Oreochromis niloticus: one gene and its partners. The protein of the gene in region 2 interacts with the protein of the main gene of each other region in a pairwise test. Links are inferred from orthologs where the notes say so. Each region holds a gene or a part of one and is shown on either strand. Other genes may lie near its edges.

The links.
Region 1: the proteins of spdl1 (region 2) and dnaaf4 interact in binary tests that used the Homo sapiens proteins (3 or more experiments, as listed by UniProt). The two-hybrid records come from large-scale screens. The link is inferred for Oreochromis niloticus from reciprocal best matches to the Homo sapiens genes SPDL1 and DNAAF4.
Region 3: the proteins of spdl1 (region 2) and ca8 interact in binary tests that used the Homo sapiens proteins (3 or more experiments, as listed by UniProt). The two-hybrid records come from large-scale screens. The link is inferred for Oreochromis niloticus from reciprocal best matches to the Homo sapiens genes SPDL1 and CA8.

Annotation. Positions count from the first base shown.
Region 1 is NC_031972.2:38,648,456-38,659,607, reverse strand, and holds the start of dnaaf4 (dynein axonemal assembly factor 4), read right to left. Parts: upstream 4,814-11,152; 5' UTR 3,691-4,813; exon of another isoform or gene 3,057-3,690; 5' UTR 2,987-3,056; intron 2,479-2,986; exon of another isoform or gene 2,365-2,478; intron 2,193-2,364; exon of another isoform or gene 2,063-2,192; 5' UTR 2,030-2,062; coding exon 1,907-2,029; intron 840-1,906; coding exon 692-839; intron 1-691.
Region 2 is NC_031966.2:4,896,337-4,907,834, reverse strand, and holds the start of spdl1 (protein Spindly), read right to left. Parts: upstream 5,290-11,498; 5' UTR 5,160-5,289; intron 4,721-5,159; exon of another isoform or gene 4,589-4,720; intron 4,033-4,588; coding exon 3,871-4,032; intron 3,707-3,870; coding exon 3,530-3,706; intron 2,887-3,529; coding exon 2,692-2,886; intron 2,379-2,691; coding exon 2,229-2,378; intron 331-2,228; coding exon 232-330; intron 105-231; coding exon 1-104. Other genes in the region: trappc11 (trafficking protein particle complex subunit 11), read right to left, coding at 7,400-7,444, 7,535-7,702, 8,050-8,183, 8,353-8,444, 8,528-8,639, 8,723-8,879, 9,323-9,388, 9,504-9,623 and 6 more. UniProt on the Homo sapiens protein: Required for the localization of dynein and dynactin to the mitotic kintochore.
Region 3 is NC_031982.2:2,296,913-2,307,453, reverse strand, and holds the start of ca8 (carbonic anhydrase-related protein), read right to left. Parts: upstream 4,814-10,541; 5' UTR 4,557-4,813; coding exon 4,484-4,556; intron 516-4,483; coding exon 324-515; intron 72-323; coding exon 1-71. UniProt on the Homo sapiens protein: Does not have a carbonic anhydrase catalytic activity.

The DNA of each region.
Region 1 (11,152 bases), on a different chromosome or scaffold from region 2:
AAGAATATAAGGTTCACTTTCACTTTGTCTCTTAAGCAGTAAGTGTTTCTTCGTTGGACTAGTTGCACTGAGACAGGAAAATCCACCTGTTAGCCATAATTTTCGTTTTTATAAAGCAGGATGGCTGGATGTACCGAGAGGCGCAATCAGCTGATGCGATCAGCGCTATTTTATGCAATAAAATAGTCTCTCTATCCCAAGAACACTCAAACAGTTAACAACCTATCAGGTTACTACATGTGCCTCACACTACAAACATAACTATGTTTCTTATCGAGGCACAATTGGGAATCTGATGATGTCACGCTAAACATGTTTTGATAACTTTAACTTTCAGCACTTATGTCTTAAATCCAGCTACACAGTAACTTTTGTATCCTTGTCAGTTTATGAGACCAGGGCTCCATGATGTAAATTAGCCTTTATACAGGAAGTGTTTCAAGTCCATTTTAAATAATTTTACAAGCTTGTAATTGCTAGATAAAAGCCCTCAAGAGACACTGTTCACAGGAAAACATCCAGCTTACCACATCAAAAATTTCAGGACTGCTGCATGACCTACACTGTCTCTTTTTGAACTGTCAGAGACAATGTATTATCTGTCAGTCATTCTTTCAATGACACATTATCATGGGTTCAGAAGACCAGAGCCTTGTTGTTTATTGAAATGACCACAAGTTGAAGCTTTTACCTGTACTTATCATCAGATGCTCCCACACTTTGTTGGTCCTTTTTGGCAAAGTGATGACTGCACATCCATTTGCAACCCTTACTGCGATTCTGTCATCATCAACAGGCTCAAACAAGAAGGCTTCAAACAGATAAGGGGGGAAATGCACCTGTGAAGAAGAAAAAACATGAATACATGTTATACTGTAAGAATTGTTGTTAAGAGAAATGTAAGACCATCTTCTGGTTCTTGTTTAGCGATTAATTAGAATAGAATTTTGATGTACATATATAATTTATATATATATATATATATATATATACATAAAAATAATCATATATATATATATATATATATATATACATATATATACATATACATATATATATATATATACAATTCTTTTATATATATATATAGTTATTCTGACGTCTTAGCACTGGCTTTTTCTTGCTGCAACTCGTCCTGTCAAACCTGCAGCTTGAAGTCTTCTATTCTCAGTTGAAACTAAGACTTGCTTACTACAACTTCTATTAAGCTGTGCTTGAAGCTGTTGTCCTGTGAGCCGCCTATCACACAAGCTGTTAACTCTCAGAAACTTGTCCTCTGGTTAGGTTGTGGCTTTGAGTCTGCCAGACCTCTTCCTATCAGAGTTTGCCCCAGTTTCTGAGTGCCTTTTGATGCTGAAGGAAACTGTAATCACTGACACTTTGACTTTCTTTGCAATTTCTCTATAGGAAAGACCTATATTTTTAAGTGTTATGATGGTCTGTCTTTCTTCCATTGTTAATTGCCTTTTTCTCGAGGGTATGGTACCACAGTGTGTTCCAACTCTGCTTTTATGCAGACAGAGGGGGACGGTAGAAAAATATCCGGTTGGGAGGGGGGCTTTAATGATGCATTTGGGAAAAACTCATGCAGACAGCTTAATATGGTCAGGGCAATTTATATTTATATATTTCTTTTCCTTCTTTTCCTTTTCACGTAGATGACTACAAAAGCATTGATAGAAGCGCTCGAAAATATATACAGCAGCTGAGTTGGCTGCTGCTCATAAACTTGATCAAACTGCGGGACATCGTTTCACGATGTCTCAATTCTGTGTGACACAGAAAAAAAATGCTATGCAGTCCAGCTTAGTCTCTTACTGAGACCAGGCTCATGGTAAAGTCGCATAGATATAGTATTTGATACACAAACAGTAAAAATACAAAACTCCTTTTTTCAGAACTTTACCTTGAGGTAATCGTCCGTACAGACAATGTCTACCTTCCCGGCTTTCGTTCCTTTTAGAGGCACATTAATGTAAAGCGTCGTCTCCGTCTGGGTCCAGACGTAGTCCATCACGACCAGAGGCATTTTTGGTACAGCTGAGCTCAATGTTTGATTCGCCTGTTTTTAGAAGAGCCAAAAGGTTGTGCTTTGATTAAAAAATCGCTCTATTTCGTTTCATAAACGTATCCGACGTCAATTCCCGTCGCACCTCGTCATGTTACTATGGTAACCATAAACAAAATGCTGACTTTGAGTTTGTCGGAAAAACCTAAACTGAAATTCGTAATGCATAACCACAATGCACTAAATATTTTTTATATATTCTTCTATAAAAATCCGCAAAGCAGAAATCAAAACCTTTCACTTTCTCGGCACAAAGTGCACTCAACAACCTACGTAAGAGGATTAAGGGTACTGACAAAAAAGTGGGGGCATCATTTCCATTTGTTTGTTGTTGTTGTATTTCCAGAATCCTGAAGAAAAAATTCTGTATCTTCAAGTGGATTGGAGACGGAGCTTTTTTTCTTAGAATTCTGGAAAAACAAACAAACAACATCAACAACACAAAACCCCAAAACAAAAGACTCACACACTTTTTGTTTGCCACGGGCCCTAATGCTCTTTCATAACATCCTCATCTTTGAGGTTAATTTAATGGAATGTTTTTTTTCACTGAAGCTTAACTCTAACATCTCCCTTCTAAGAGGAGAAGCTACCAGACCCTGGCTCAGTGGTTCTCATAACTCACTTCAAATGTTATTACTGTTAATCAGCTCCTGTCTGTCTTCTCAGATTCAGCTAAATGCTACAAAACTATTCAGATGGTGCTTGACAGTGCAAATGGATAATGACCCAATGCAACCCAAAAGTTTCCCCAGGTTAACTAATAAGATATTCTTAAATGCTCAAGTTAGTCACTGAAGGCTGACTAGGGCAGTAACAAACAGCAAATGAAGGTGGCTGGAGTAAAGACTAGTGCCGTATGCTATAAAGCAAATTCAACATACCGAGGGTATCATTATATTATCTGGTTTCACTTACCTTGTCACTGGTGATCAGGATAATGGGGATGATATTGTTACAGCATCACCTTGATCACAAACTGATTGAACTAAAACACAACATACAGTTAACAACATAAAACACAACAGTAAAATGGGTAAAATAGAGACATAAAATTATCTACATAACATATATAACATACCTCGTCAACTGACCCATGCTTAGTGGCAGAAATGAGCACCTTACAGATACTAGGTTGAGGTTTTGTGTTTGATTTGTTAAAGTCACTTTGTCTTATGGTTTGATATGATATAATGGGATTACATGCAATACTTGCAATACATCTTTTCCTGTGACCTTTGGCCAAGAGTGTAAATTGTCCCTAAAGGCGTTAGCTATTGACAAAAGGCCCTTCATAACGTTCATGCTGCCTCATATGAATCTTCAGAGCCAATCAGAAAATACCCATCTAAGGCTTCACAGCTGCCAACATACTTCTGTAAGACAAATATCTTTTCTGCAGTGGGAATGTTCCTTCACAATATTAGAGCCTGAAAAGATGCTTTTCAATGCTTAAACTTAAGTAAATGCCCACTAAATACAGAGGGCTCTGGAATAGGTAGTCTATTAGCTGACATTGCTTCTGCCAAAACCTTTACAAGCTCACCTGCGCTCCAATGAGTGATGTTTACCTCTCTTTTTAGTTCTGAGGGTTGATTAGTAGCATTGTTGAACTCTGTTACCTGTACGTTTGCAGGGGTGGTTGCAGGAGTGACTCTTTCTTGCTTCACTGAAAAGTAGTCTTCCTCGTAAACTTGTAGTTCTGCTTTTGCTGCCTTGAATCCTTTTAGATTTTCCATCTTTCAATTTCTCTTTTCAAGCCCTCAAATGACTTTCTCAATGCAGCACCTTCCTCTTGTTGTCGCTTTATCACAGCTGCTTTCTTCTTTTCTCTTTTAACATGCCTCAGTTTCCTCCTTCTCCTCTAGGAGGCATTGTGACATTGCAGCAGCATCTTGTTCTGCAGTAAAGCGTTTCTTTTCTTCTTCACGCAATTGTACTTTTTCTCTGTATTTCTCTTGTTCAGTCTTAATCTGAAGCAAAGCCTTTGTGGCTTCATACTCCACTGCAGCTTCTTGTCTTTTGGTGGAGGAGCCATTAGAAATAACTCTATTGGCTTTAAACTGGCTATGAACTGAGACACTAACAGAGCAAGAGGATGTAAATATACAGCTAGGATCAGGCCATACAATCTCCTCTTGCTTTTCTCCTTTAATGTGACCTTTGATGTTTTGTAAAATCACTGTAGTCACTGAGGTGGATTTGTCTAGCTTGGAATGCATATCATGAGGTGGTCCATCCATTGCTCTATACTCATCATAAATATCATTAAGCTTGGCTACTTCTCTTTGTACAATGTTCATGTGACCTTCAAGAATGTCAAGTGGATCTCCTTTTAAACAGATTTTTTGCAACTTTGATTAATGCTTTGCATCTGTCATAAATACTGTCAAAGCAGCGTTGAAGCCATTGTATCCTTTCTTTATGGAATTCTTTTCCCTTTTCTCTGAGCATGTGAGGCCTTTCACTTCTATGCAGCTCTACTTCCACTCTTTGCTCTAAACAGGTTTCATCCACTTGCTCTGCTTCTGCAGCTTGTTCTGCACTGGAAACTTCAATTTCTGTTTCATTTGTTTGTGACATTTTTGTTTTTCTTGAATTGTTATGCATTTATTTCTTAATCTCCTTAACCTCCTTTTAACTTGACTTTAGAAATGAATTGTGAACTTGATTGCATTAATTCCCGGGCGATCGTGGCTCAAGAGTTGGGAGTTCGCCTTGTAATCGGAAGGTTACCGGTTCGAGCCCCGGCTCGGACAGTCTTGGTCGTTGTGTCCTTGGGCAAGACACTTCACCCGTTGCCTACTGGTGGTGGTCAGAGGGCCCGGTGGCGCCAGTGTCCGGCAGCCTCGCCTCTGTCAGTGCGCCCCAGGGTGGCTGTGGCTACAACGTAGCTTGCCATCACCAGTGTATGAATGTGTGTGTGAATGGGTGAATGACTGGATATGTAAAGCGCTTTGGGGTCCTTAGGGACCATAAAAGCGCTATATAAATACAGGCCATTACCCTTCTTGCTACCGTTTGGTGCTGTTGTTGTCAGGCTTCACACAGTTTCTTATTGTTTCTCCCACCTTGTGTCACTTTTCCAAACACAACTTTAATGTCTGGCTTCCGGACATCTTTATGAAGAAGCAACTGGTGAACGTGTGTGTCGATTAATATTTGCAGCAGCCTGGTCCTTGGTGCAGTGACACAATGTTGCCACCAGGGGGCCGGGAATCATGCAGGTCCGAGTTCAACTATCACTATCACCTCTGCTTTAATGTGAGTTGTACAAACTTGGGGTTGCCATTAAGCTTGCCATGCTCATACTTTAACATGGGTGTGCATCTCACTCAGACGCACCAGGGGAACCAACATGCAGTACAATAGTTCCTACATGAGAATCTCCACAATAAATGTCGTAATGACATAAAATATGCATAGTGCAAAACAAAATATGTTAACTAAAAGTATGACAGTAAAAAGGTGGTCTTGGGAGCACCTAGCTTATATGAAAGGGCCTTTTATCGGTCTAATAATGTTTACAGAAAACTATAACTGTTATGGAAGAGATCCAGAACTGAATAATAACTAACAATTAAATGCAAAGTTGTGCATAAACACACAGTGATTGAAAAACAAGGTAAGTGGAAAAGAATATACATTATGGCAAGGACCCAGCACCCTAGACCTAATGCAGTGTAACTAAAGGAGGAGAAGTTGTGGGTGGGTTCTTAAACATTTTGAAAGAAGAGGCCTTCCCATAATAATAGCTTAAAATGCAGTGTTAATGCTGTCATTTTCAGTATCTACATGGATGTTAAAATCTCACACAATAAATATTTTATCTGAGCAAAGCCCTGAATCAGATTAAAAATAGTCTGAAAATCAGACAGAAAGTCTGTGTAAGGAATAGGTGGTCAACAGATAACAAGGAATAAAACTGATTTTTGAGTTTACCTGTTAGCAAGCAAGGAAAAAATTTATTTATATAGCACTTTCAGACAACTACCAGCTGAAAACAAAGTCCTGTACACTTAACATGACAACCCCCCCCCCCCCCCCCCCCCCCCCCCCCCCGATACATTAAATAAAATTTTTAAAAAATCTTAAATAAAAAAAATTGATTAAATTAAAATAATAAAATCAGCACATTAGATTAAATCAGAGCAGTAAAATCAGGGTCAAACTGTGTCAAGGAATAAAAATTGGTTTTAAGATGTGTTTTAAAAATGGACAATGAAGGGGCCTCTCTAATGTGCAGGGGCGGGTTATTCCAGAGGTTAGGATCAGCGATAGAGAAGGTCCTGTCCCCTCTGAGCTTCCTCTTGGACCTGGGTAGCACCAAGACCAGATTGTCACCTGACCTGAGAAACCTGGGGGTTGAGTAAGGATGAAGAAGCCCAGAGAGGTAAGATGGGTCAAAACTGTTTAAGCGTTTGAAATAAAAGCATGGATTACTGTTTCAGAATGCAGCCCGGATAAAATAGGTCTTACCTTTGTCAAGCACCTTAAATGAAATGAAATTAATTAAGAATAAAAAGTGGACTTCACAGTAGCCCTAATTTTTGTGTTCAATATAAAATCACTGTCCACTTTAGAACCCAAGTTAGTAACAACAAGTTGTAATTACTCTGCCAGGGGTCCCGAATCAATAGAGGAAGAACCATAAGGTCTTCTAGGACCAAACAGGATCACCTCTGTTTTGCTTGAATTACAATTAAAAAAGTTTAGGGCCATAAATGATTCTATATCTTCTAGACATGCCAGTAGGGGTTTAATAGAGAAAGATCTTTCTGCTTCAGAGGCAGATAAATCTGACAGTTGTCGGCATAACAGTGGAAGGATATTCCATGCTTTCTAAGCATGGTTCTCAAGGGCTGTAAATACAATGAAAAACGCAGACGCCCTAGAATTGAGCCCTGCGGGACCCCAAACTGAAGAGCAGCAGAAAAGGACTCCTACCCCAAAAAGTTACCACTAAAAATTCTATCAGACAGATAAGACCTAAGCCAATTCAACTCAACAGAGTCGTCAGTGGACACGAGGAGATGCTGGCCGGGTTCTCCAGAACACCCAGCTGATGTGGCATGATACTGGCCAGGCTCTTCAGAACCCCCAGCTAACGTGGCATGATGCTGGCACAGTTATCCTGAACCCCCAGCTGACTTGACATGATGCTGGACTGGCTCCTCTGAACCTCTAGCTGGAACAGATGCAGGACCAGAAGGTACGGAAACTCCTGGCTCAGGCGAAGCTAGCTGGAGCTGCGTGAGACAGACAGCCAGCTCAGGTTGCCTTTCAGGCTGCAGCAATGCATAGTCCTTTGCGGGCAGGATGAGCTCGCCTGAGCCCTCGGTGAAGGCTGCTGCAGACTGTAGAGATGGCTCGCACAAGCTCTCATCGGAGACAGGAGGCTGAGACAACCCGGCAGAGCTCTCAATGGAAGCTGCTGTGGACCGCTGGGAAGGCTTGTACGGGCTCTCAGCAAAGACAGAAAACTGAGATGGCCTGGCAGAACTCCCAGGGGAAGTAGCTGAGGGAGGCTGAGAGAGCTCAGAGCTCTCAGCTGATGAACATGGTAACAGAACAGGTGGGTGAGCAAAGGAGTGATCTAATGGCTGAGCAGACGACAGAGCTAATGAGTGAACTGGTAACAGAACAGATGCCTGACCTGGTAACAGAGCTGTCAACTGAACTGAAGACTAAGCTGTCAACAAAACAGGAGACTGAGCTAACAGCTGAGTTAATGATAGAACTAGGGACTCGAAGCAAAGGCTGTAGTGTATGCGGTAATGATGGTTGTAGTAATGGTGGTGATGGTTGTTAAACTAACCTTTCTAAACTAACCTTTCTGAGCCTCTACGACATGAGGACAGGGGCCTGACCGGCTCGCCTGAGCCTCCAGCAGAAACAGGAACCGGACACTAGCCACTCCCACCCGAGGAGTAGGTATGGGTGCTGGAGGGTGCTTCTCCTTTGCCTCTCTGTGTTCCTGCCCCCAGGGGAGCTCAGGCCCGGCCTTTCCCTGCACCCGTTTCAGTTCCTCAGGTGAGGGAGGCGGAGGTCAGCTGGTCCTTGCTCTGGCTCCCAGGCCGGCTGAGTCCCTGCACCCGTTCCTCGGGTGGGAACAGCAGCTGCCCAGCGGTTGCCTTTACCTGTCCTGGCTCCCAGGGTGAGGGCGGCCGTGAACCAGCTGGACCTCAGCCTCCCTCACCTGAGGAACTGAAATGGGTGCAGGGAAAGGCCAGGCCTGAGCTCCCCTGGGAGCAGGAACACAGAGAGGCAAAGGAGAAGGCTCAGCAAACAAAGACTTATCCAAAGTGGGTTTTGCATTTTTACCACCAAGATTAACACTCTTTGAAAAGAACAGTCTCTGATTTAACAATCTTTGGAGACACAGTCTCAGAGTTATTCAACTCAGGAATGACAGAACCAAAATTGACTAAACCCGACCGGACAGAACTCGAACCAACAGTCTTTGACTTTGACTTTTTTGGAGGGTGATAATGGTCTTTGATCCTTCCCTGCTCAGAGGGAGCAAAAACAAAAAGGTTTTCCCAGTCCACATCATCATCCAGTAGAGAAACACCAAACCTATCTGTGCTGAGTCTATTGTTTGTGGACTCAGGAGGAGAGTGTGAAAAACAGTCATAATCTCTCACCACCGGGAGTTGCTCAGCGGAGTATGTATGCGACGGCTTGAGTGCTGCTTTCTCTGGGAAGTGGAATCGAGCGGGGTAAACAGCTGAGCCTCCGGCACGCAGAATGGCGACACCGAGGCTAGAGCATGAGCAGAATTCCCACCTGAAGCGGCCACAGCTTGGTGGGGGCTTTCGGCAGTCCTGAGGGACCGCTCTGGTGGCTGCCAAGAGCCAGCCGAGTTCCTTAGAATGTGGGCCCGTAGTCAGGAGTGCACCACGGCCTCAAGTAGAGCTCCTCCTCCAGCTGGGCGATGGCTGCCTCCTGCCGCTTGTACAGCCTGTGGTCTGCTGGGTCCATGTTATTGTCGGAGCGTACTGTCACGGTTTGCAAGGCAAACAGAGTGAAGATTGAGAGGGATGGACTCAGGCGCAGACAATGATGCAGGAGAGAATGTTTCAAACTGAAAACGAGTCTTTATTTGTGACTGAAAAGAAACACTACAAAATGTCTGTGAAGGTTCTCAGTCATCCAGGTCATCGTAGTCTAAGGAGCTTGGAAATAAAAGCGTCTGGATCTTTTTTTAAGTTGCTTGAAGACGTTTCACCTCTCATCCGAGAAGCTTCTTCAGTTCTAAGGGTCAAATGGTGGAGAGTCACAGATTTAAACCCAGTGGGAGTTTCCCCCCAAAGGGGGACAAAGGACCCCCTGATGATCCTCTACCTAATCACATGAGCCAAGGTGTGAAAGCGGGTGTGGGTCCCAATCAGCCAGGGTTTCGGGTGAGCTCATTGTTAAACCTGGCCCCATGTGATTTCCTGAGGTCAGATGGCCCAGAATGTGAGTGGGCGTTAAGGCGTCTGGGAAGGGAACTCAAAACTGGATTATAGATGGCAGACAGTTGGTGTCGTAAACCACCGCCTCTGTTCAAAGATGGTTGCTCACAGTGGACATAGGTGGCTTCTTTCACTCCTCTTTCAAACCATCTGTCCTCTCTGTCCAAAATGTGAATGTTGGCATCCTCGAAAGAGTGACCTTTATCCTTAAGATGCAGATGGACTGCTGAGTCTTGTCCTGTGGAGGTGGCTCTTCTATGTTGTGCCATGCGCTTGTGAAGTGGCTGTTTGGTCTCTCCGATGTAGAGGTCTGGGCATTCCTCGCTGCACTGTACAGCATACACCACATTGTTCAGTTTGTGTTCAGGAGTTTTGTCTTTCGGGTGTACCAGTTTCTGTCTGAGTGTGTTGCTGGGTCTGAAGTACACTGGCATGTCGTGTTTGGAGAAAACTCTCCTGAGTTTCTCTGATACACCGGCTACATAGGGGATGACAATGTTGTTGCGTCTGTCTTTCTTATCCTCCCTCGCTGGTGTCTGATCTTCTTTTTTGTGCATCTTTGCTGACTTTATAAACGCCCAGTTAGGATAGCCACATGTTTTAAGTGCTTCCTTTACATGTGTGTGTTCCTTCTTTTTCCCTTCAGGCTTAGAGGGAACATGTTCTGCTCGGTGGTGTAGGGTCCTAATTACTCCAAGTTTGTGTTCCAGAGGGTGATGGGAGTCAAAGAGGAGGTACTGGTCCGTGTGTGTGGGCTTCCGGTACACTTCAATGTTGAGGTTGCCATTCTCTTCAATGTGCACAGCGCAGTCCAGGAAAGGCAAACAGTTATCCTTTGTGTCTTCCCTGGTGAACTTGATGTTTTTATCCACGGCGTTAATGTGCGCAGTGAAGGATTCCACTTCTTGTGTTTTGATTTTGACCCAGGTGTAGTCTACATATCTGTACCAGTGGCTGGGTACTCTCCCTTTGAAAGAGCCAAGAGCCTTCCTTTCCACTTCCTCCATGTAAAGGTTGGCTACAATAGGTGACACGGGGGAGCCCATGGCGCAGCCATGTTTTTGTCTGTAGAAGCCTTCGTTGTATTTGAAATATGTAGTGGTGAGGCAGAGGTCTAACAGTGTGCAAATCTGATCGGGTGTGAAGTTAAGTCCTGTCCTCCAAGGCGCTGTCTTCTTGTAGTCGTTTTCTGACAGTCTCCACTGCCTCCGTGGTGGGTATGCAAGTGAAGAGGGAGAATACATCAAAGGACACCATGGTTTCATCTGGATCCAGGGTAAGTTTCTGGACCTTGTCGGTGAAGTCGGTGGAGTTCTTGATGTGGTGTGGGGTGTTCCCCACACCACATCAAGACCCAGCAACACACTCAGACAGAAACTGGTACACCCGAAAGACAAAACTCCTAAACACAAACTGAACAATGTGGTGTATGCTGTACAGTGCAGCGAGGAATGCCCAGACCTCTACATCGGAGAGACCAAACAGCCACTTCACAAGCGCATGGCACAACATAGAAGAGCCACCTCCACGGGACAAGACTCAGCAGTCCATCTGCATCTAAAGGATAAAGGTCACTCTTTCGAGGATGCCAACGTTCACATTTTGGACAGAGAGGACAGATTGT
Region 2 (11,498 bases):
CGCTGCATCTGCTGTTTGCTAAAGGCGTGTATTTTCTGCAGCGACTGATACTGGACCTTCATACTGATGAGCTGCCTCTCCATCTCAGCCCGCTTATCCTCCAGCTGCAACACAACATGGAGCCATTTACTGAGGTTTCAGGTTCGATTCAAGACCGAGTTCTCAGGAGCACAACTCTGGACTTAGAGACAGACCTGCTGTCAAAGGAAAGTGTGAAACACTCTTTTATACCTCAGCAAACAGAGAGTTCCCTTTGCTGTTTGGATCCTGGGCCTGCTGAAGAACCTGATCCAACTCGATCTGCAGATCCCTGTTGGCCTCACGAGATTTCTGTCATTACAGGGAGAGAAAGGATGAGATGAGATGAGATGAGATAGCCTTTATTTGTCAGTTGCAGGTCTTTTGCCCGCAACCGAGATGACAGACCTTGCCGACCATACATACAATACACAAACATCACATTGGGGAGACAGGTCAGGCCAGGTAGCGAGGAAAAAAACATCGAAATGTGTAACACAAAAGGATAATACAGGAATGCACAGATATCAACACACCATAGCACAATAAACACAGACAAGCAACATGGGAAAGAGTTCCAGTGTGTGCATCTAATCTGGGACCGCTGCAATCTTTCGACTGCGCCTCCAACTGACCCGATGTCCACATCAGAGGGGAGGTAAGCGTTGGAGGTGGCGTTGGATCCGGGGTAGGGAGGGTGATGCGTTGGTGAGTGCTTATCAGTATCAGTATATGTATGTGTGTGCGTGTCCAGAGTTCAGCTGAGACAGTGTCCTTCGCCCTGCCAGGCTAAGTAAACAGTCTTCCAGCCAACCCAGGTGGCCTTGCATGGGATGGGAAGGAACAGACTCAACACAGTCGTTATCAGGGAGTTTTGGCCAAAGGGGTATCCGCATAAGTGATGTTATTTTTTTACTTTAGTGCGAACAGCTCATATGAATTTCAAAGCAGTTCTACAGTCCAACACTGGTCTCTCAATCTCCCGTTGGAGAGCCGCGAGCTTCGCCATACTTGCGCTCTGTGATGTTGTCACTTCTTGTGCTCAAGGAGCCAATGTCTGAGAACTCACGGCAGTGTGCCTCCCCGAGATGTCATCCAATTTTGCGCCCAGAGATGTTATTCCGGGCTAGCGCTTCCAAGATGTATCCAGTCTGCAGTCAGAGGTCTTATTCTGAGTGTTCACAGCAGCCGTAGCCTCTCCAAGATCTTATCCGTGCTGACTCAATGAGCCCATTTTGAGAAACTCACGCCTCTTCCCATCGTTCCAATCCCAGCGGGCAGCCTTGTGGGGGTTTGAACAGCCGGTTCCACTTTCTTAATTCTTCGATAAGTCAGGGCCAAGCCAGCTCCGATCAGCAAGAACCCTGTTACCATGGTTCCGAATAGGTAGATATCTTCACCACTCAGGCTCACCCAAGCCCAGACTTCTCGTTGAGAAAAGGGTGTCAATTGCATTCAGGGACCAGTTGATCAAATCCATAATTCCTCTTTTAGGTTTTAGAGAACAGACTGTGAGAGAGTGTTCCAGGGAAAATACAAAGAAAAACACGAGACTAGACAAGGACATAAGCAGGGAAGCTAAGGGAGAGGAGAAAAAGTGTGTCCGCCTCCTCCGAGAGCCAAAGAAGAAAAGACTGAAGCGACCACTCTTTTGTTGTGGAAATGCACCTTAAAATGTAACTAAGTGTACGCAGGAAATGCTTACTGATGTGGTTAATGGATATCTTATTGTATGGAACTAAACACGCTTCTCTAAGAATTCAAACTTGGCTGCGCCATATGATTGGCTTTGCCCTGATTAGACTATCACAGGACATGACTGCAGCAGAGTCAGGGACAACCAACCCAGCAGCAAGTACGAGCTTCATCAGAGTGCTCCAGAGACCAGGCTGATGACCAGAACGTGAGCCAACGTTCTGGTCATCGTTCCAATTCTACTTACTCGAATAATGATTATTTTATTTTTTTAATATTTATTTTTTAAATGCACAATATCAGCTCCTACTTTCCTAATTTCAATCTTTTAATTAAGATTTTTAGATTGAAAATATAATAATCTATTTTGAGATTAGTGAAAGTGCTTATTCAAGACTTTTCCAGGCATTTCCAGGTCCAGCCTGGTGTGACTGCACAACACAGAGAAGAGCAGATGAGGGAATGAGTGTTTTATTGCTTTCACTTTAAATCCACAAAGACTGTAACATGTTTACCTCTAATGCATTGAACCAGGACACCGCTTCTTTCTCCCTTTCCTCCTTCTCTTCTGTGATTCGCTCCAGCTGCCGCTGCAGGCTGCTGTTGCTCAGTTCCAGCTGCTGCTCCTTGTACTGCGATTCCTGCAGCTCCTGCTCCAGCTCCACCTGGCGGACCAAAACAGATTACATCACTTGCTGATTCAACAACCACTTGAGAACACCCCTTCTTCTCATGCCATTAATCATCTTTATTCATCTAGATACTTCTCGTGTTAGTTGACCTGGTTGGACATGGATGGTACATGCTTTGTGGTGCTCAAAGGACCAAAAACATCTGGAAAAACTAAGCAGCTTGTCAAATCCACAAGCCTTTATGTGAACAGCTTAACAGAGCAGCTCAGCTCTGGATGGTCTCTATTATCACACTGTCACTGTGAGAATGAGCTGTCTGTAGAACTTTCCTTTGTAAGTCACTCACTTTAACGTTCTCCAGCTCTGTGATCTTCATCTGCACCTCCATCATCTCCGACGTCATGGAACTCTGCGTGTGTTCGTTTAGAGCTCTGAGCTCCTCCATCTTGTTATTCAGCGTCTCCGTCTGCATTTCCAGTTTGTGTTTGAGCTGTTTTTCATTCAGCTGGGACTCCTCTAGAGAAGACTGCAACCTCAGGATCTGAGAGAGCAAAAACTACAATCACAGGTTGGAAAACAACATGACAGCGTGGATCCATCCTGCCGTGTACCAGTCAGGCTGTGAGGGATATTTTCTTGGCACACTCTGAGCCCATTAGCACTACCTGAGCATTGTTTGAATCCTGCAGCATGTCTGAGTATTGTTGCTGAACATGTTTATCTCTTTATGACCACAGTGTCTCTATGGCTGCTTCCAGCAGTGTAATGCACAGCATAATGCAAAGCTCAAATCATATCAAACTGGTTTCTACAACAGGACAATCACTGTACTCATACTCAGAGCACCTTGGAGATGTGGTGGAATGGGAAATTTGCATCATGTATGTGCAGCCAACAAATCTGCAGCAACTGTGCAACTCCATCATTTCAATATGGACCAGATTCTCTGAATCATGTTTCCAGCCCCACAAAGAATTAAGGCAGTTCTGGAGGCAGTAACAGCGTGCTATACCTCAACAAGTATCTTACTTTACTGCTCTAACAGCCACTCAAGAATTGGGGCTTTTACTGGTGAGTGTAAGCTACCATAGTGCATTTAACCTGGTAAAGGAACTCTGATAACTCTGTATACTCAGCATAGCTGCCTATCGCTAGTACAGACCTCAGACCACATGCTGTTGTACCTTGTTGTGAAGCTCACTGAGTGCCATGCTATGAGCCCTCTCCAGATGTTCTTGTTGTTCTTGAAGGTACCGTTTTTGCTGATTCTTCACACAGTCAAAGTCCGACTGCAGTGATTCCAGCATCCGAGTTTTCAGCTCCACTTCCTTCTGCAACGAGTACTTGTCTTGCTCGAGAGCCTGTGGCACACACATCATACAAAGACAGGTGGAGAAGTTTGAAACAATGATAAAGTTAGTTTGGATAACCAACAGGAGGAAAAATTAGGAAAACAATGACATTTGTATTGGGTTCATGGCACAGTTTACTGGAGCTCTTTCTCTTTATTTGTGTAAGAGCGGACCTCAAGGGCGTTGGTCATCTCTACTCTTTGTTCATCCAGTCGGTTCTGCAGCTCCACCTGCTGGTTGAGGAGATCCAGGCCAGCTTGAGCAGCCTGATGAACCTGCTCCTCCTTCTCTCTGAGCTGGATCCTCAGTACCTTGATCTCCTCTTCTGCTGCCATCTGGAAAGGGAAGGACAGAAATGTGTGTTAAAATCTGCTGTGTGCTTCAGTCATTACTGAAAAAGCCCAGGAGCTCAACAGAGACTGGAGCTGCTCAGTGTCACTGTTCTTATATTGTCTTAATAACAAGTGTCCACGGGCACTCTGCAACTGCCATGTTGACAACAAATATTAAAAAATGCCACAAACACAACAACTAGCTGATCTAGTCCAGCAGTAACCAATGTCTTGTGATCATTAAACAAGATTCAACAACATTAACCTGCATTGTCATTAATATCTTAGTAAGTACTTACAATGTGTCTGAAAGCTAAAAAAAAAATATATATAATTTGATGTATCAGCTTTTTGAATGAACAAATATTGGTGTCAGTCTTAACAATTCAATATCCAGTTCCTGAATTATTTGCTATCACCATGTGACTTTTATTTTATCTATCGTTTTCATTTTCTCTGTCACTTGGAGTCTGATGAACACATGTAGACAGGTGCAGCTTTTGAAATCTGAGAGCTCACAGATCAGTGGGACTAACTGGAAGTCACACAAGTTACTAACCTGTTTGTCAGTGTAACACAGGTTTGTTGCTGTTAAGCTGGGATCCTGCTTTATTTTCAGTATAATATAGTTTTGTTTTTTTTTAATACTCCACTGTCCAACTCAGAAACACTGCATGTATTAAAAAGTGACACACAAAAGTAATCAAGAAAGGCATACATAAATGCAACCGTTTATGCTAAGGTCTATACCGTGTTCTCGTTTATTATGTAAGACAGTGCTATACAGCCTTAATTTCCTTCTTTCCAATTAATCAGAAGCTAACGTCCCGCCGTTAATAAGTTTAATAGTGACAGTAAATGTCCAGGAGGACAATACGCAACAGCTACAGCAGATAGTAAACGCATACAGTATCGGCCAAAATATGTCAACAAGTCACGTAAAGACAGCTAGCTCCTGCTTGTCCACACAATCTAAGGCTGGGGAGGCTTAAGATTTCAATATGACAAACCCGAACTAACGATATTTTCTTTATTTAGCAACAACAACTCTACTGTGAGCAGTTCTTCTACTGACGAAGTGCCTATAAAATAGATAAACTGACAATAACAAAAACAAGCATTAAATATACCTTTCTTAACGACCAGCCAAAGCGCCACAATTTGAATCCGACTCCAACCAGCTATCGCGACAACTTGGCTCTGCGAGACTTTGGAGATTCGTCAGTCTGGCGTTGTTGAGATATCGCCCTCTAGGTGTGGAGGACCGAGAGAGTCGCGCACATCGAAATAAACAATTTCATTGATAAATAATTAATTGTGCAATTAAATATTCATTAGTACATACATTTGCTCATGATTTTTTATTATTAAAGGAATTAATGTTGTGATAAATTATTCGACAGTAAAAACAGTAGTTATAAATAAATATTTCTAAATGTATTAATCCATTGATAAATTCAATTTTTTTTAGACTGAGAATGAGATTGTAAAGTGGTGTGGGGGGTGAATGTACCTAGGCAGCATCAGATGGTAGTCTGTGGGATGGCTTTGGAAATCAAGAAGAAGAAGTGATTGAAGCCTGATATGGTAATTGAAGACAGAAAACTGTTGTTCAGAATTCAGGGAGGACTTAAAAGAAAAGCCGACAGAAATGCCGGTTGGGAATGTTAACAGACTTATCATGATCAGAACTTTATTGTTAAAACATAGGAGAGTCTGATTATAATCTGTTGTTCCATTAAATAATATCCAAATTTGCATAAGACAGCTTTAGTTTTTTGTTTTGTTTTGTTTTGTTTTTTGGCCGCAGCCCTGAGTGTGTACTGGTCTGAGATCAGCTAAAGAAGCAAAACAAAAACAAATCAAATATGGGCCGAGTCTACCTGCGCTTGATCCAATTTATATATTAATTCTTATAATACTTAATTGTTCTTAAACCTTTAAAACCTGAACCATGAAATAACTGCCAGAAACCTTTATCTTTTTTGATAATGGAGTGTTTGCTGAACCTTTAGACAATATATAAATACATCAAATTTTAATCTGCATATACGAGTTTTAATTTGTATTACGTTTGCTACATAAGCCATATTTTGCAATGTAGTCATTAAAAATGTGTCATGCAATTTATATCACTTTTTAAGGTTAAAAAAAAAAAAAAAAAATCACGCTGATGATGCAAAATTTTGTGCCAAAAGGTAAAAAAAATAATTAAAACGAATAAAAAGCAAGGAATAAAATTGCATCTAAGAATCTGTATTTATTACTGATGCTCATTTGGGAAACACAAAGGCTTCAGACACTTAATATACTTGAGCTCCTGCTACTATTCGCACACAGAGATCTTCAAAGAATCGTACGGATATTTTCTGGAAACTTGGTTTATCAGCAGATGGTGATTTTATACCTGTTGACATTTAATGTGGAACATAACGTGCTCCAAAGCACGTTATGTTCCCATCACAAGTTACCATGGCGATGTACAGCAGTACGCAGTAAACTAGCTTTGCAGCGCAGGGTTAGCCCCAGAGTAAACCTGCTTTGTAGTACAGACCTCAGATGATGCAAATGTGTAAACCACTACAGTATGGAGTCACTTTACTTTGGTGTGGTTATAATCTGAGTGCTGACAGTACAACTCATCTTTGCTGAGTTAACAACCTGCCATTTTTGAACCAGCCAACAAGCTTCAGTGAATTAATAAACTTGTTTGATAATGTGGAAAAAACTGATTTCCTTTATTGGCCAATTAAAAGTATTTAAAACATTTTAATTGAATTATAAATATGTTCTAAATTACAGTCTGTCTAAGAACTAAGAAGCAAAAATTAGGTGGTATGTGTGCGTCTCAGACTCGGGTCATATTGTTAGCATTACCTGATCACTTTACTATTGCTTAAAATGCATGAACCAAAAGAAAATGGGCAGTAGCGACAGATGTCTATCTTTCCTATATTGTCTTTCAGTACCAACTAACCCTTTTCCCACTTCTGAACATAATGATGACCCTCAACTTTATCGATATAATGTAGCCATTTTAAAGTATGCACAATTGTCTCACACTTTCAGGGTTGTAGACACAGCAGGTTTAGACCACTTCAGTTTAATCAAATCATCATCACATCCTATTCATATATTAAACTTTCCTCAAATGTCCATGAAGCTCACATCAGACTCACACATGATCTTAGCTGTTAAATGATCATCGGTGCTCGATGCTTGCTGGTGTTTGGTCAACAGGTGATCTAAGCAAATAGTGTCAATAATGTCAATCTCTGTGTAATCTCTGTGGTATCATACATCTAGAACTACCTGCAGTACACAATGCTGCTTTTTCTTTTTATTTACAAGAAACACTTTCATTTTCTCCTCAAGCTGCAGCAATGGAGGCGTCATCCAACTGTCGACCCTGAGGCTGTGGAGAAAGACAGAAACGATGCTTTAGCCCAACAAGGAAAACATCTCCACTTTGACCTTAGTGTTTATGGGTTTCTATGTGTGTTACCTTGACGAAGATACGCTGGGGGAGGAAGCGTTTCAGAGCTTGAGTGCTGAAGGTGGGGCAACGTGGCAGACTGATGTTGAGCTGTGGTAGTGTTTGGTAACCAGCCATCAGTGGATAGTAGTTATAGAGCATCTCCTGCTCTGAACTGGGGAGGATACGGAGACGCACCTACACACACACACAAATGGATTTGTCATTTGGATACATGTGCAGCCAAAAATCAAGGCTAGGTCAAGGCAGTCAAGATGAACCTTGAATGAGGTAATGTTTGAAGTGAAAGTGACTCTGGACCGTCTGGTACAATCAAGCCAGAGGCCACACAGTGACTCTTTGTAAAGCTAAAATAAATGTAGTTTTATATTTACAGATAGATAGAACACACACACATGCAAGTTTCAGTGCTGCTGCTCAGATTTTCAATGTATTGATGAAGCACGATGACATCACCAAAACTGTCCAATCAATATGACCCATCAGCCCTTATAACACCATTCCTACAGGTGGCGCAGCTGTACCTGTTTGAGACCAGAAAACATGAAGGCATCGGACGGTTCCACGGCCATCTCCACCTCCTGCACCAGAGCCGTTCTGTTTTCTATGTGGTAACGCACAGGAAGAGACTCCCTGACTCGCCCGAATGACGGCAAATCTGAAAAACATCAAAACACAACAATGTAACACCACCAACAGCCAGAGGTTAACATCTTTCACAACTGCAAATGCAAATAATGAGAACATTTTTTGAATTCTACTTAGTGTATTGGAATATTATCTGTAAAATCAGGAACACTGTGTGCATGCGATGCTTGCGTACTGACCAGCGTGGATGTACAGAGGCACCATCTCCAGGACCACATGAGGCAGACTGACTATAGTCTGGATGAGAGGACTGTCTGGACTGGAGGAGTTTCTGTAAAACAGTTTTAGAAGTCTGTTCAAGCCCTCTGAAAACCCAGCAGCAGCATGTCAAAGCCTCCATTAACGTGTACGTACCTCCTCCACGATAGCAGGTACTGTCCTGTAGCCACCGTGTTATTGATGTTGGTCTGTGGCGGACATCGGAGACAGAAACACTCACTGGCACACTCCCCTGTTTGTAGAACCACTGAACATAAACATACACTTTTTACTTTTCAGCAATAAATCTAAACAGGAAATTTTAGGTAACTATGTTAAGTACTCGGATACCTTCCTGTAACTGCGACTGAAGCTGTGGTGTGTTGCTGGTCACAGTAAGAAGCTGCAGAGAAGAGGAAGTCAGCAGAAGAGGCCACGGAGATGACGACAGGATGTCAGTCATTAGGAGAAAGGGAATGTCCACTGATACCCGGTCCAATGGCTCAAACTGCAGCAGCACACAGAAGCAGAGACGATAATAATCATTTCTATTAGACTTACTATAAAAAAAGACTCATTATCTTACTTTAATGGAATGAAATTTATTTAATTGAATGCAACATACCAAAGCTCCTGCTTTTCTCTTTACTTTAACCTTTTTCTTACTTATTTCTTTTGTCCTTTACTTTGTACTTGGAGTGTTCGTCTGTTTCAGTAGATTTTTTCTCTACATAACTTGATTCTAATTCTAGAAGAAGCTGTCAACAAACAGGTTGTTTAGGTAGGTGTATGGTAGCTTACTCTAATGTAAATGTAATCAGATAAATCAGGATGTTTCTCATTTCCTGCTTTTGTATTTTATGATATTAAGCTTATTAAGATCCCTTCACACCTCCCTGACTATTAGTAAAATCCAAGCTAAAATGAAAGCGGGTAAACCTAACTACACACCTTGGTGGAGACAAACTTGACCGAAACCTCAAATGGAACAAGTGTCTCTATGGTTACCGTCTCATCCTGGAGAAGAGGAGAAAAAAAGAGGTGTAAACCAGAAAAGTAAAACAAACGTTGACATCTGTTTATCACTGAGCCGACTGTTAGCTGTACTGTGCAGGTCAGACAAGCTTTCTACCTTATGACACTTGCACATAATCTGTCGTCCTTCTACTGTGGTGTCGATGCTGTAGGCCACGTGGAACAAGAAGACCCTGGGTCCGGTTGATACACACTTGACATACACGCATTTCTCCAACTAGAGGCAAACACACAGCTCACAAACTCAAATTTCTTCTTTTGCTGTGAAGAACCTGACAATGCTGCTGTTTTGCGCGATATGCTGAATTGACATTTCTTTGTGAGAGTCACCTTTTCGCCCGGTTTCAGCTCTCCGAGAGGCACATCGGGGAGCAAGGAAGGTGCGCTGTCATCACAAACCTTTGACCCGTCGAGTGTCACGTGAGTGGTTTGGCCTAGATTGGCATCCTGACCTGAACATGCAAACCAAGATAAATGCTAAATTAGCATTTGTTTGCTGCTGTATGTTATTGAAAATGATTAGAGTACTGATGTACCTGGTTTGAGGCCAGCAGTTAATTTAACATCTTTAGCCATGGCCTCCTCCTGTGATTGGACAGTGAGCTTGATGCAGTACATTTCATTGGTGAGTGCAGGAGGCTGGTGGCTCAGCTGAACAGAGATCTTTGGGACTCTGGAGATGATCCTAAACACAAGAACCATTTCTGCTGATTTGATCCCAGCGTGTAAACTGACACTGTTCAAACTGACGGGCTGGTAATGACTTTTTCTGACTCACATGGTGCTGTGCTGCATGGTCAGGCTGTCCCAGTCCAGCTCCTGACGCGCTTCGATGTTACGGCCCCAACGCCGTGAACACCTGCTGGCCTGCAAGGCTTCATGTGCAGACGCAGCGTCTCCACCTGCTCCTCTCCAGCTCACAAACACACAGCGGCCACTGTCGCCACCCAACATCACCTCGATACCCGTCATCTATAATAACACACGTATTAATCACCGTTTCAATCCCTGTCTCTGTCTCACAATCACAAACAAAAAAGTCTCCTTACCTCTATCTTCTTACCAACATCTTCAGTTTTTGCCACAAAGCTGAAATTGTAGCATGTGGTTTTTCCTGGTAACAGACTCATGGCCTCCTGGCCCGACCACTCTGCCACACACCACTGGTTGTACTCCTAATAAACAAAAACACCTTTGTCACATACAATACCCCATCGGTGTTTTACGGCTGAGTGATAGACAGCTAAGCTACTGCAGCATAACCATGAAAAACAGTGAAAGGAAGGTTAATGTTACTTTCAGTCACAGCTGTTTGCACTAAAACGAGGTGAACATGAACGAGTCTGGGTTGTATTACTGCAGAGGTTTTTAACTAGCTGTCCAACAAAGATGGTGATAATTACAGACTCAAGTAGATACATGAAATAAACACAAGACTTTTGTGGGACTTTGTACAGACAAAGCGCTCCAAGCTGGTATCATACATGGAGGTGGAGATACAAACAGCCTTTTTTGTAGCACGTACCTGGTTACTGAGGCTGACAGCTAGCTTGCCGAAAGACACAGGATGAGGGCAGTCAGCTCGGAGGAAGACCTGCAGTTGGACAGGCTGGTCCACATGGAAACTGGGAGACTGGAATTTGGCTTTACACTGGACTGGAGTAAGAAAAAAAGGACAGCTATTATAACCCATTTATATCGAGATATAGAAACTGTATTTTTACTGGGCATGTATCCCAAACTGAATGCTGCATTAACTTATTACTTTAGCAGGATCTCATTTTAATGATCCAACTTTTAATAAAACTGGAAAAGAATACATCCAGAGGCTCACTTTATACTAAACTCTTTCTAAACCCAGTATCATTAGTCAGCATGCACTTTTTCTTCTTGGCATGTACACGTTAAAAGAGGAGAACTGAAACCCCTTTTTGAGCGAATCATGTGTTTACTAACTGAATGGGATGTAGTCTTGCACTTCTATAGTTAGTTCATTTGATCCAGCCAAAGCCATGCGGTCATTCCACAAAGACCTGGCAGCACTGACAGAAGACGGATCACACTCGGGCTCAGCATCTGGGACCTCGTTCTG
Region 3 (10,541 bases), on a different chromosome or scaffold from region 2:
TTTGCCCCAGTGGAATCGAACCTCGTGAAGCTCATACTCGTGATCGCTTGGCAGTGGACCTCCAGTAACCACTGTCACAGGAAACCAGGGGGATTATGATCAAGCACGTACAGGAAGTAGGCTAAATAGGTCAGAATAATAGTCGGTGTGAGAGAAAGGGGTCATTTGTGATGCGATGCAACTTTTTTGGTTTTCCCTTGTTAGAAAAATATACATTCATCACCTCCTACCAAACCTCGAAAACCATACATGCATCCTGTTTCAAAGCAGTTTAGTCAACAATTTGTGTTTGCTGACATGATGTCATGGCTGCTGGGAGTTACCTGACTTGGACTTAAGAATAATACGGACAGTGTGTCCATCATTGATGACCTCGCAGTCTCGACACACCACGTAGTTTGGTGACAATCCAACATCCAGGAGTGACGGGTCGTAGTGAGCCTCCCTGGAGTTTAGATTAATGGGAGACTGGTACTCGCCATTGGCTGCTGGGAAATGAAGTCCCCATTCTACACCTTTATGAACGAAAATAGGCATAAAAATGCACATGAAATAGAGCACACATTCATATTATTGTTGTAAAATATAGGCTTACTAAGAACATGACCATTAAAAATGGTTGCACAGTTTTAAGTGTCCTGCCAAGTCACACTTAAAAGTAAAGGGAACTGTTGCACCAGCTGTTTCAAAGTTCAAACTTTGACTAGCTGTAATATGCAGCTGTAATATGTGGTGCATATTTAAACAATATGCACCACATAAAACAGCTCTTATGAAGGGTTTGGTCATTGCTAAAAATGAAAGCAGCGTGGAAGCGGCTTAATCTGCATGCCATATGAAGGGTACCAGGTTGCAATAAGCCCTACAACAGACTGGCATCCAGGGTGTACCCTGCCTCTTAGATGGATGGATACGTGGATTGGATGGATATCTATGGTTACAAAAAGACTTCCGGTGAAGTCTAGAGGGAAAATCTCTGTAAAAAACTTCTGTAAAAACTCTGTAAAAGAATGAGTTTATGGAGTCAGTCATAAAAATAGTAACACTATTTTTCTTCTTCACTCAATTCTTCTTTCGCTCAAGGGCATCAGTTTCTAACTTTCTGCAGTTTTGCTTCTGGATTTTTGGTGAAAGTTTGCACAATCTGTGATCAGATGGTGACAGCAGCTAGCAATCCAATCGCAGTCAAAGGTTTCAAATGCCATTCTCAGTAAGTGCACAACTCAGGTTTTAATTGGTGAACATGCTATCAGTCTAAATTCATGTAGGAAACAAGTAAATATGTTGTGTACTTAATGTTGTGTGCCAGTAACACAAGTATCCGAATTAAGATACACCTTTAGAGATTTATTTTACCAACAGCTGGTGCAACCAAATCACTGACCCTGAAACTGAACAATCAATTCAGCTGTCATTCGCTTTGGTCTTTTTCCCATACCAGAAAAATCCCCTTCTTTTTGTTAGCCATGCTAACAAGGCTCCCTTGCATGGCTAGTGAGCAAGCACTAGCCATGCAAGTGAGCAAACATGTACTAGACCAGGGAATTGTATGTTTAGAGTACAGTTACCAGTTAAGATTTCAACAAGTCATCCAACTTGGCTGGTAGTTTGCTCTTCCTATTGGAAAAACGTGGGTGCTGTTTTATACAAGAGGGGAGTGTCTGAAATTCTTTTTGTCAGCAAGTCTACAAGCAGTAAAGTCATGACCTCTAATTATTATAATAAATATGGCAGTGGTAGCCTAGTAACAATGAAAGCCCATTTATGGTACCATAAGTGGCACTATTATTTTCTATTACAACACAGACAACTGTTTGATTAGTATTAGTTATTTATTAGAGTTTGTTGCTCTCTATATATGTATATATATACACACACATATATATATAGGTGGTGAGCACTGCTAAACTTTAAATTAAAGTTTGTATAAATAGTAGTTGTGGTTTAAATTGGGGTTTGGCGCCACAAAATCAAAGTCAAATAATATTCCCTGAAGTGATATAAACAGAGCTGGGTGTGTGCATGAGAGGAAAAGAGTGGTTTCAGAAGAACGTGTGGGGGACACGAGACTGGCTAAAACTGGTCTTCAGTCCCTCTTCCTCTTTGCCTTGTCCTCATTCTGATCCTGAGTTTCTTTCTGCTTCCTCTCAGTGTCTAGTAAACAGGATTTCTTGCAGTGAGTGTGACAATGAGATTACTGTTCATAAAAGCATAATTAAGCAGACTGCAGTTGTAAAAACAGGGCAAGTCTGCCCTAAATGAGACAGGTCACCTGTCAACAGCACAACACTGAAATATTTTGTAAGATAGTAATGCCTTTGTTTAATAGAGTGTGAAGAGCAAAAAGTGTAGAGAAAGTGATACCACTGAAAGACAGAATTTGCTTCACTTTCAGCTGACTGCAACAGTAAGAGATGTGTATAATGTGCACAACCTGCTGTGTTTTTAGAAAGAGGAAACACACACTGGCAGTATGGTGTTCATGGAAAGTCCAGTACACCCATCTGCCTCCAAGAAAAGGAGCTCAGGCCTCACAGTGTGCCTTTCTGTTGGGACTGCAGACAGACGGCCCTCACTGGCTGACTATTCACACCGTAGCAAAGAGGCAAGGGGGAGCAGTCACATTCTCGCTTTCCTCAGCAACTAAAGCCTTAACAACAGTTTACTAAAGGCAGTGAGAATTTCAGTGGCACTACTAGATTGCGGATTGTTGCTTTAATGACCTCAAATTAAGAACTTAGCTTTGTGAGTAATTGTGTTTTTTTATTTCAGTCACTGAAAAAATTTGGGGGTTGTAAGCTTATTTCTTCTCTTGTTAACTTTAGTGTTAGATGATATCATTCTTATGTGTAAGCTAATCAAGAAATGACTGTGCCTGATTGTTAGCCACAGAGGCATTAGAGACCTGTTGGTGGCCATCTGATAGTGCACCTTCAATGGCTGTTGGAGGTTCTGGCAGTCTCTGTGAAATCAACTGATCAACTCGCACAGAGACCTCAAAACCAGTCAGTCAGTGACCTTGTAATTCACTGGTTGCAGCAGAAAAATGTGCTTTCTTTACCTGGTTGTGGGTGGTTGCTGGAAGTCGCTGGCTGTTTTTATCAAGAAAGTGTTTGCAAGCAGATGTAAAGTGGTACACCAAAACCCTTCTTTGAGAAACCCCCTTTACTTTACTTGCTAGCAGGCTGCCACCTTTGCAGCAGTTTATATGGAAGATGCTGAAATTTCTGTAAACACTTGCAAATTACTCACCAACTGTTAGTGAAACTAAGAGTGACAAAAATGAGAAATTGAGAACATTTGCAGTCAGAGTAAAAGTTAGGGTTAGGGTTAGCCCTAACCCTAGCCCTAACCCAATTTATACTGCACTTGTTCCACATTTGACTAAAGCTTGTGGCATAAATGACAACTCTTTGTAGAAAAGTCTGTGTCTTCCATGCAAACTGCAGGTGACCAAAGCTATCACAAGCAGATTCTTGGTGTAGCTGATTTCACCTGGCAATAGCAGCAACGATTTGCGAGCAACATTTTTCCCTGGTGATCAGAGGTTGTCAGGGGGTCAACCAACCTCTAGGTCTATGTGACTGAGACCTTAGCTAAGTCCTAAGAAAGGAAACTTTTGCTTATTAGACAGCAGTAAGCACTGTCAGCTCATGGCAAGGAAGTTCTGTGCTTGTGCTTATAAATTAAGATGAGGAATTTCCTGTGGGAACCTCTCATCTCCTCTTAACCTAACCAGGTATTCGCATGTCAGATATTAGTGTCTTAGACATACATGGTATTCCATATAATTTAGTATACTTACAGTAAGAATTTCACAGTTCAGTGTGACAGTATATCCCTCGATGCTCAGTAAAAGCAGCATTACCAGAAAGACAAAGTGAACACATAACTACATGACATACTGAAAGTATGACAGTAATATTTGTAACCTATGTTCAAGTGCTTATGTGCTTTATTCAGTTTCTCTTTAGACAAAGATATATGAGTATATGAGTGATATATGAGTGACAGCTCTTAATGCCAAGCCATTTTTGAGTTTTATTGTATGATTTGTAGAGTCCAAGGTAATCTTTGCTCTGCTGAAACTCTCTGACCAACAACTGTCTGATGCAAGTCTCCTAGACCTTTAGCAGTGCAGTGATAAATAACTGGTTTGCTGGCAACTTTACTGAAGTGATATTGTTCTTGTGATATTTTTCTATATAACACTGACTGTAAATCATGCCGTTCGAGCAACCTACAACATAGGAGATGAGAGAGTAAAACCATTAGTGGTTTATTAAAAAAATAATGAAGCCGGTGTTCTGACAGATGTTGTACAGTGTATAACCCAAATCCAACTAAAGAATCAAATTGTATTTTTTTAAATGTTTTTAAAAAGTGTAAAGTTTTGGGTTGAGTCCCCCTTGAAACTCCTCCTGATCCTTAGCTTTTCACACATCTCCAGCATCCCTTCACATACTGAGAAATCCCAGCCTACCTTCCTCATAGCCCCAGTCCAGCTCATCTTTCCCTGGGGTATAATCCGACTCCTCATTCACGTTGTCAGCCATGGTGCTTTGCAGTCTACTCCCTGTGGCTAGAAACCAGTCTGTCCTCCCACTAGGCTCCCAGTCACTCTGAAGTCTGCTGGATGGATTCCCAGCTCAGCAACAACTCTGTCTTTTCTTTGATGCAGTTTCTCTTTTCTTCCTTTTTTCTGTCTGTCTCTTCTTATCCCCCTTTCTTACTCTCTCTTGCTCTCGTCCTCCTAAAGAGACAAGCTGATGATGTGTGCAGACTGTTCTGCCTCTCTGAGCAGCTCTTTACTCTGTGTTGCTCCGCCTCTTTTCTCTCGCTACTTTGCTCTACTGTTATCTCTCTCTCTTCCTCTCTCTTTCTCTCTCTCTCTCTCTCTCTTCCTTTCTGTCTCTGCAGGTGTGCTTGCTCACCCTGGCATAAAATGTCACAACAGTGTTTCTTTTTCATCTCCCTGCCCTGTATGCTCCCTCTGTTCAGAGGTGAAAATAAACTGTAAAGCATATCGGCTTTAATTATTTTTTCTTTCTTGATTTATTTGTTATGCTCTTTTAGCCTTTCTGCTGTTTTCAGAACCAAAGTGGTTGTGTGTATGTGTGTGTGCTGGAATGCTGGCAGGAAGGTCATGCTGGTGTTTCTGTTGGAGGCCACAGATCCACCCTTGGGTGAAGGAAACAGCAGTGGTTGAGAAAACATGCAAAAAGCAGCATGAGGGTGAAAGTGAAAGGCCAACTCTACTTCAGACTTGATGGCTTCAAGATGGACAAAGAAAGTGGCTCTCAAACACCCACAGAAGCCTTTGGCTACAACTTCATGGCCTATCACAAATGACTTTGAACACTGAACAGTGGTTTATATTTCACCCTGTTATACATTCTTTAATTACCAGTTGTTGTCATTTGTAAGTTAACTATATATTTTTCAATTTTACTGTATTTTTTGGGAGGTGGAGTCTCAAATGGGACAAATAATTCATAGTATTGACATTTTTTCCTTTGTTCATTCCCTCCTTTCCTAATCCATATCCTCCAGGCTGCTCTCATTAATTACCCTACATTCTTTATCAGGAAACTGTCCTTGGAAACTGTCCTCAGAGCAAGCTAAATGAAGAAGAGCTCCCTTGATGTGCAGGAGCATCAACATTTAAAGAACAGCCAACAGGAGTGTCTTCCCCATCTGAAATTCCCAAAGTTACCAAATCATGGGATTTGCTAGGTTTTCCAAGAGCCAAGAGGAAGTGCAGAAGTCTAATTTGCACTTAAATTGTTAAATTACACAACATATCCTTTTACTTAAGTAACAGAACAGGTTGTTACCCTCTGACTCCCAAAAAACCTTATAGGAGTTCCTGCTGAAATGACATATGAGCGTTCTTAAATTGTAATAGTATCACCCAGGAAGAGCAACTAAATCCCTGTTTGGAGACGGAACGTGTGGTGGTTGTGTAATCAAACACAAGACCTTAAGCTATGAGCTGAGGTTTTTTTTAGGTAGGAACACTGTTGCATACTACTTTGAGTTTTGTTTCCTTTACTTTTTATTAATAATTAAAGCAGTCAGTGGCTGCATGCCTTCCAGTGCCTTGTAAGTTGTAAGATGAAGAACTTGTCTGATATATTCTACTTCAGATGTAAAGAAATTAAGACAAACTGATCAAATGTAGAAATTTCATAGATTATTTGATTACTGAATTCACAGCCACTTTCTTGTGGTGATACTCAAATACAATGAATTTGCTGAGATATTACTCAAAACCAGCAGAATTTAGCCTCTAATTATTCTATTTAATACTGGTATTTCAATCAATCTGATGGACTTAGCTAGTGACACCTATTCACTTCTTTAGTGTATGTTCTTTACCAATGCAGATGTCTTCTCCTGTCCAGAGTGATTTCCTCCTGTTGCTTTCTGCCATCAAACACGTCACATTTAGTCAGATTACCTTGCTCTGTAAGAAACAATTAGTCACTACAGCTCAGCATGTCAATAATGAGTATTTAATTAGCTCTTTGGAAAATTCTTTTCATGCTTTGCATTTACCTGTTTGCTTGCTGCCATCAAGTGGTATTGTGTTATATTTACCCTCACAGTAAAGAAGATAGAGAGCCTTGGATCTTTTTTCTTTTTCTTTTCTCAATTTTGCGAGTGTCATCATAGCTGAATAAAAAAAAAAGCAAATCCTCTGACATATGACAATGTTTGTTTTGTTTTTTTATTAAAATAAGCTAGCATTAACACTTTGAGCCTAGCTAGTTAAAATTCAATATAGATTCAAAAAATTAAAAATGTATTTCTTGTTGTCAGTAGCAACTGATATCTGTGATTGTGCCAGAGCATATTTTGAATCACCATCATGGGCATTTCAGATTTCAACACAGGTGGTTGATTGTTACACTCTGGAAACTGAATGAAGGTGAGCATCATAACCCCATAAATCATAAAAAAAATCACTTCAAATTTTTGGTGAAAAACTTGGTCATGACAGTGCAGATTCCTGACATTTTGTAAGCATGTAACAGTTTGATTATTTCTAACACAAGAATGTGAAACTTAAATTAGAAAAATTGTATTTCCAACTGATCCACCTCATGTTGTGTAGTATTCTGGATTTTATACTTATTGAGCTACATGTTTATTTAATATATAGGCTACACAGTAGCCTATATATAAAATCAAAATGCACATTTTTTATGTAACGGAAATGTTTTATTATTTGGCCTAAAGCCAATAAGAAGGTTACTGACCATGTTTATAGGAAACAGGTGTATACTTACTGCATTTGGTGTATTTTAAGCATATATAATAAATATTACAGAATGTAACACCTGCACATTGATTTTGCCACCCCATGTGATTTCCCTGTCACCCTCACGCCATCCTAGGAATATTTCTCTAGATCCACCCCTGCATGTCAGGACTGATATTGCAAGCTTACTGGCTAGAACTGAAGGTAGGTCCTATGTCATTCCCTATTCTATGTTTCTTTTTGACTCTGACTGGGGGTATAATAATATCTGAAATCAGCACTGCGTTCTATTTAATAAAGCTTAACTTACAATCTTAAGTATAACTGAAGTTACAGATCAAAAAAACTGAAAGGCATTTTCCTTACACTTATCTACAATTAGAGGAGTCGCCCTCTGCTGGCCCTGTGCTAAAAAGAATCCAGGTTTAAGGCACTGCAAAGAGCCACTGCTCTTCTGTGCAGTGAATAATGGCCACAGAGTTTCCTTTCAGGTTTTTACATGGTTGAAAATTTGTTTTCTACAATACAATGATCCATTTAAAGTTCAAGGACTAGGTTACATCACTGCTTTTAAAATGTCCACCTGTAACCGGTTGGTTTAACTCTTGAATACATGCTGTAAACACAGCTGTCTGTTGAGCTTGGAACTTAGATGTGGGCTGGAATCAAAGGCAACATTGTTTTCATTGTGTGTCATTACTTTTTTGTTTAAGTCAAATTTATTTTCTGTGTCTCACTGTGACGACATACAAAATGTCATGAGGGCAAAAGTAACTCGGAACATAAATTGTTACATTTTGGGATTACAAGTAGATATAGACAGGTCTATCCAGAAAATGAATGTCCTAAAACATAACATCAGAATATCATCAGAATAGTGCGCAATTTTGAGAGTCTGCGATTGAAATAAGGCTGGGTCTATTTTGTGGAAAATTGTAGCTTTTTTAATTTATTGAAAGAATAGCTGCCTAAGATGATGCATTTTATTTTCCAGCTGTTCCTTTTAAAAATGTGAAAAAATCACATTTGAATTAAAAAGAGATAACACTTTATTTCAAGATAATGTTAAATCAGAAAAATCCCATTTAAATTGATGTTAAAGCGTTGTAAAACTACTCAAGGAGTAATGGAGAAGTGAATGGTTTTCTTACAAATGGATGTTTTGGGTTTGTTTGGGGTTTTTTTTTTAAACTTACTCACAGATGTCATATTATTTCCAGGCCTTTCGGGCTGGTTTTCTGAACTTGCTGATAATTCTGTCTGCCCAGATTTATGTTGTTTTGCTTTCTTTAGATTTATTTTTTTTATGGTCTAATATTTTGCACTGATTTACTGTAATAACCCCTCCATCCATCACCATGTTCCTAAGACCTGTGTTGTCGAGAGAAACTTTTTCTGGTGGGCCTCCCAAAGCAAAATGGTCTTCAGATTAAGTGTCATTCAAATGAGCACTGAGTGGCCGAGCCTTAGCCCACTGGGCCTGGACCCAGAACAAGACTCATGAGTCCACCCTCCTGTGGAGGCAGAGGGAGCTATAAGGGTCTGGTGCTTTGTAGATCAAGTAAGAGTCAGTGGCTTTGGCAGTCACATCCCCAGCTGCCCAAGTTGACTTCAGGGACATAGAGACAGGTGAGGAGCTTGTTCATCTAGGACGACTCAGAGAGAACACCTGATGAGGATGGATCCTGCATGTGTAACTGGGAGAGAACATGCTGGAGAGATGATGACTCTTACTTGCCTTGGGAAAGCATTGGTCAAAAACATTTCTGCTGGATAACCTAGAGGCTATAGCCAGGTAAGAAGTGGGTCTGAGCATCTTTTCTTAGTCTGCTGCCTCAATGACCCAAACCCAGATAAATGGCAAAAAAAAAAAAAATGGCCCTGGTCCTGAGCAAGATTATACGTGAAAGCCAGGTCAAAGAAATCTGACAGCAGTCTGGCTGGACTCGGCTAATTCCTCACAATCTTCTCAGAACAGCACTGAAGCACTATCACATCCCAGACCACATCAAGGTAATAATCAGCAGTTACCTGAGAGGGTTCAAGCACCGCTTCAAGGCCAAAGACTACCTACAGAAAGAGATCGTCACCATTCCTGTTTGCTATGAGCATTAACTTCATCGTGACGTCACTATCATTGGAGCAGTGGAAAACGTAAGACAACTGGCAATAAGGGGCTTCATACCTTACAGTCACGACATCTTCCAACATGCAGGCAAAATGGGTTCTAGGTTCTAGGTTAATATCGCTGACAAGTGCAATCTGAGAAAGTGGTATGACAATTCACCAAGCGACAGAAACAACGTCCACAACACAAGAAGCACCACAAGCAGAGGGACCGCTGAAGGACACGAATAAATCTGACTACTGGGGAGGCTTAAGGCATGACTGTACCAATATGGCCTGCTCCCCAGGTAGATGTGGCTCATCATAATATATGAAGTCCCACAGTGGACAGAGGAGAACTAAGAAACCCGGAGGAGGAACAGAGGACGTTAGAAGTGGTGGAGGTTGGATCCAGGCCGTGACTGCTGACCTGCCAGCAGGAGACTGTTAGAGCATCAAAACACAATCGTGGCCTCATAACATTTCAACCACTGTGGGCCCCAAAGTGGCTGTCCACATCTTATTGCCAAAAGTTGTCATCCCAAGTCAATGCTTGTGTGATGAATGGCTCCCAGGGGTCCAGGCCCAGGTTACCCTGTCCCTTCAGCTGACATGGACCTTGGGAAGTCTGTAAATTCATATATATGTCTTTTTGAAACAAAAAAAAAAGCTGATGAAGCATGGTCTCACTTGAAACTTGAAAGGCATTCACTATGGGGCATAGGTGAGTTAAAACTGTTTTTTGGGCTGCTCAAGCAATTTGGCTTCAGTGTTTGTTTACACTACAGCTCCAAATCCAAGTGACAGCAAGCCAAAATAATGTGTCTATGTCTAACCTGTCTATGTCCAGCTGCAGCCTGTATTCAGTTTGAATATTGCTATAAACTGATATGGATCAGTTTATGCCTTTTATTCACTGTAACATTTAAGTTTTAAGACTGAGAGAGGACAGAGAGGGAGAGAAAGAGAGAGAACAGGATGAAGACAGCAAAGAGAGCAAAAAGAAACTGGTAAGAGTGGAAATGTAGTCAAATTCACCAAAAATGATGAAGCTGTAGGTTTCCCACATTCATTGATGATGAGTTTGCGTATGTAAGCAGTCTGCTGTCCTGTTGTCAGTTGTGGATACCCCTCTTATACTTATTACTGTTCTATAATAACTATTATG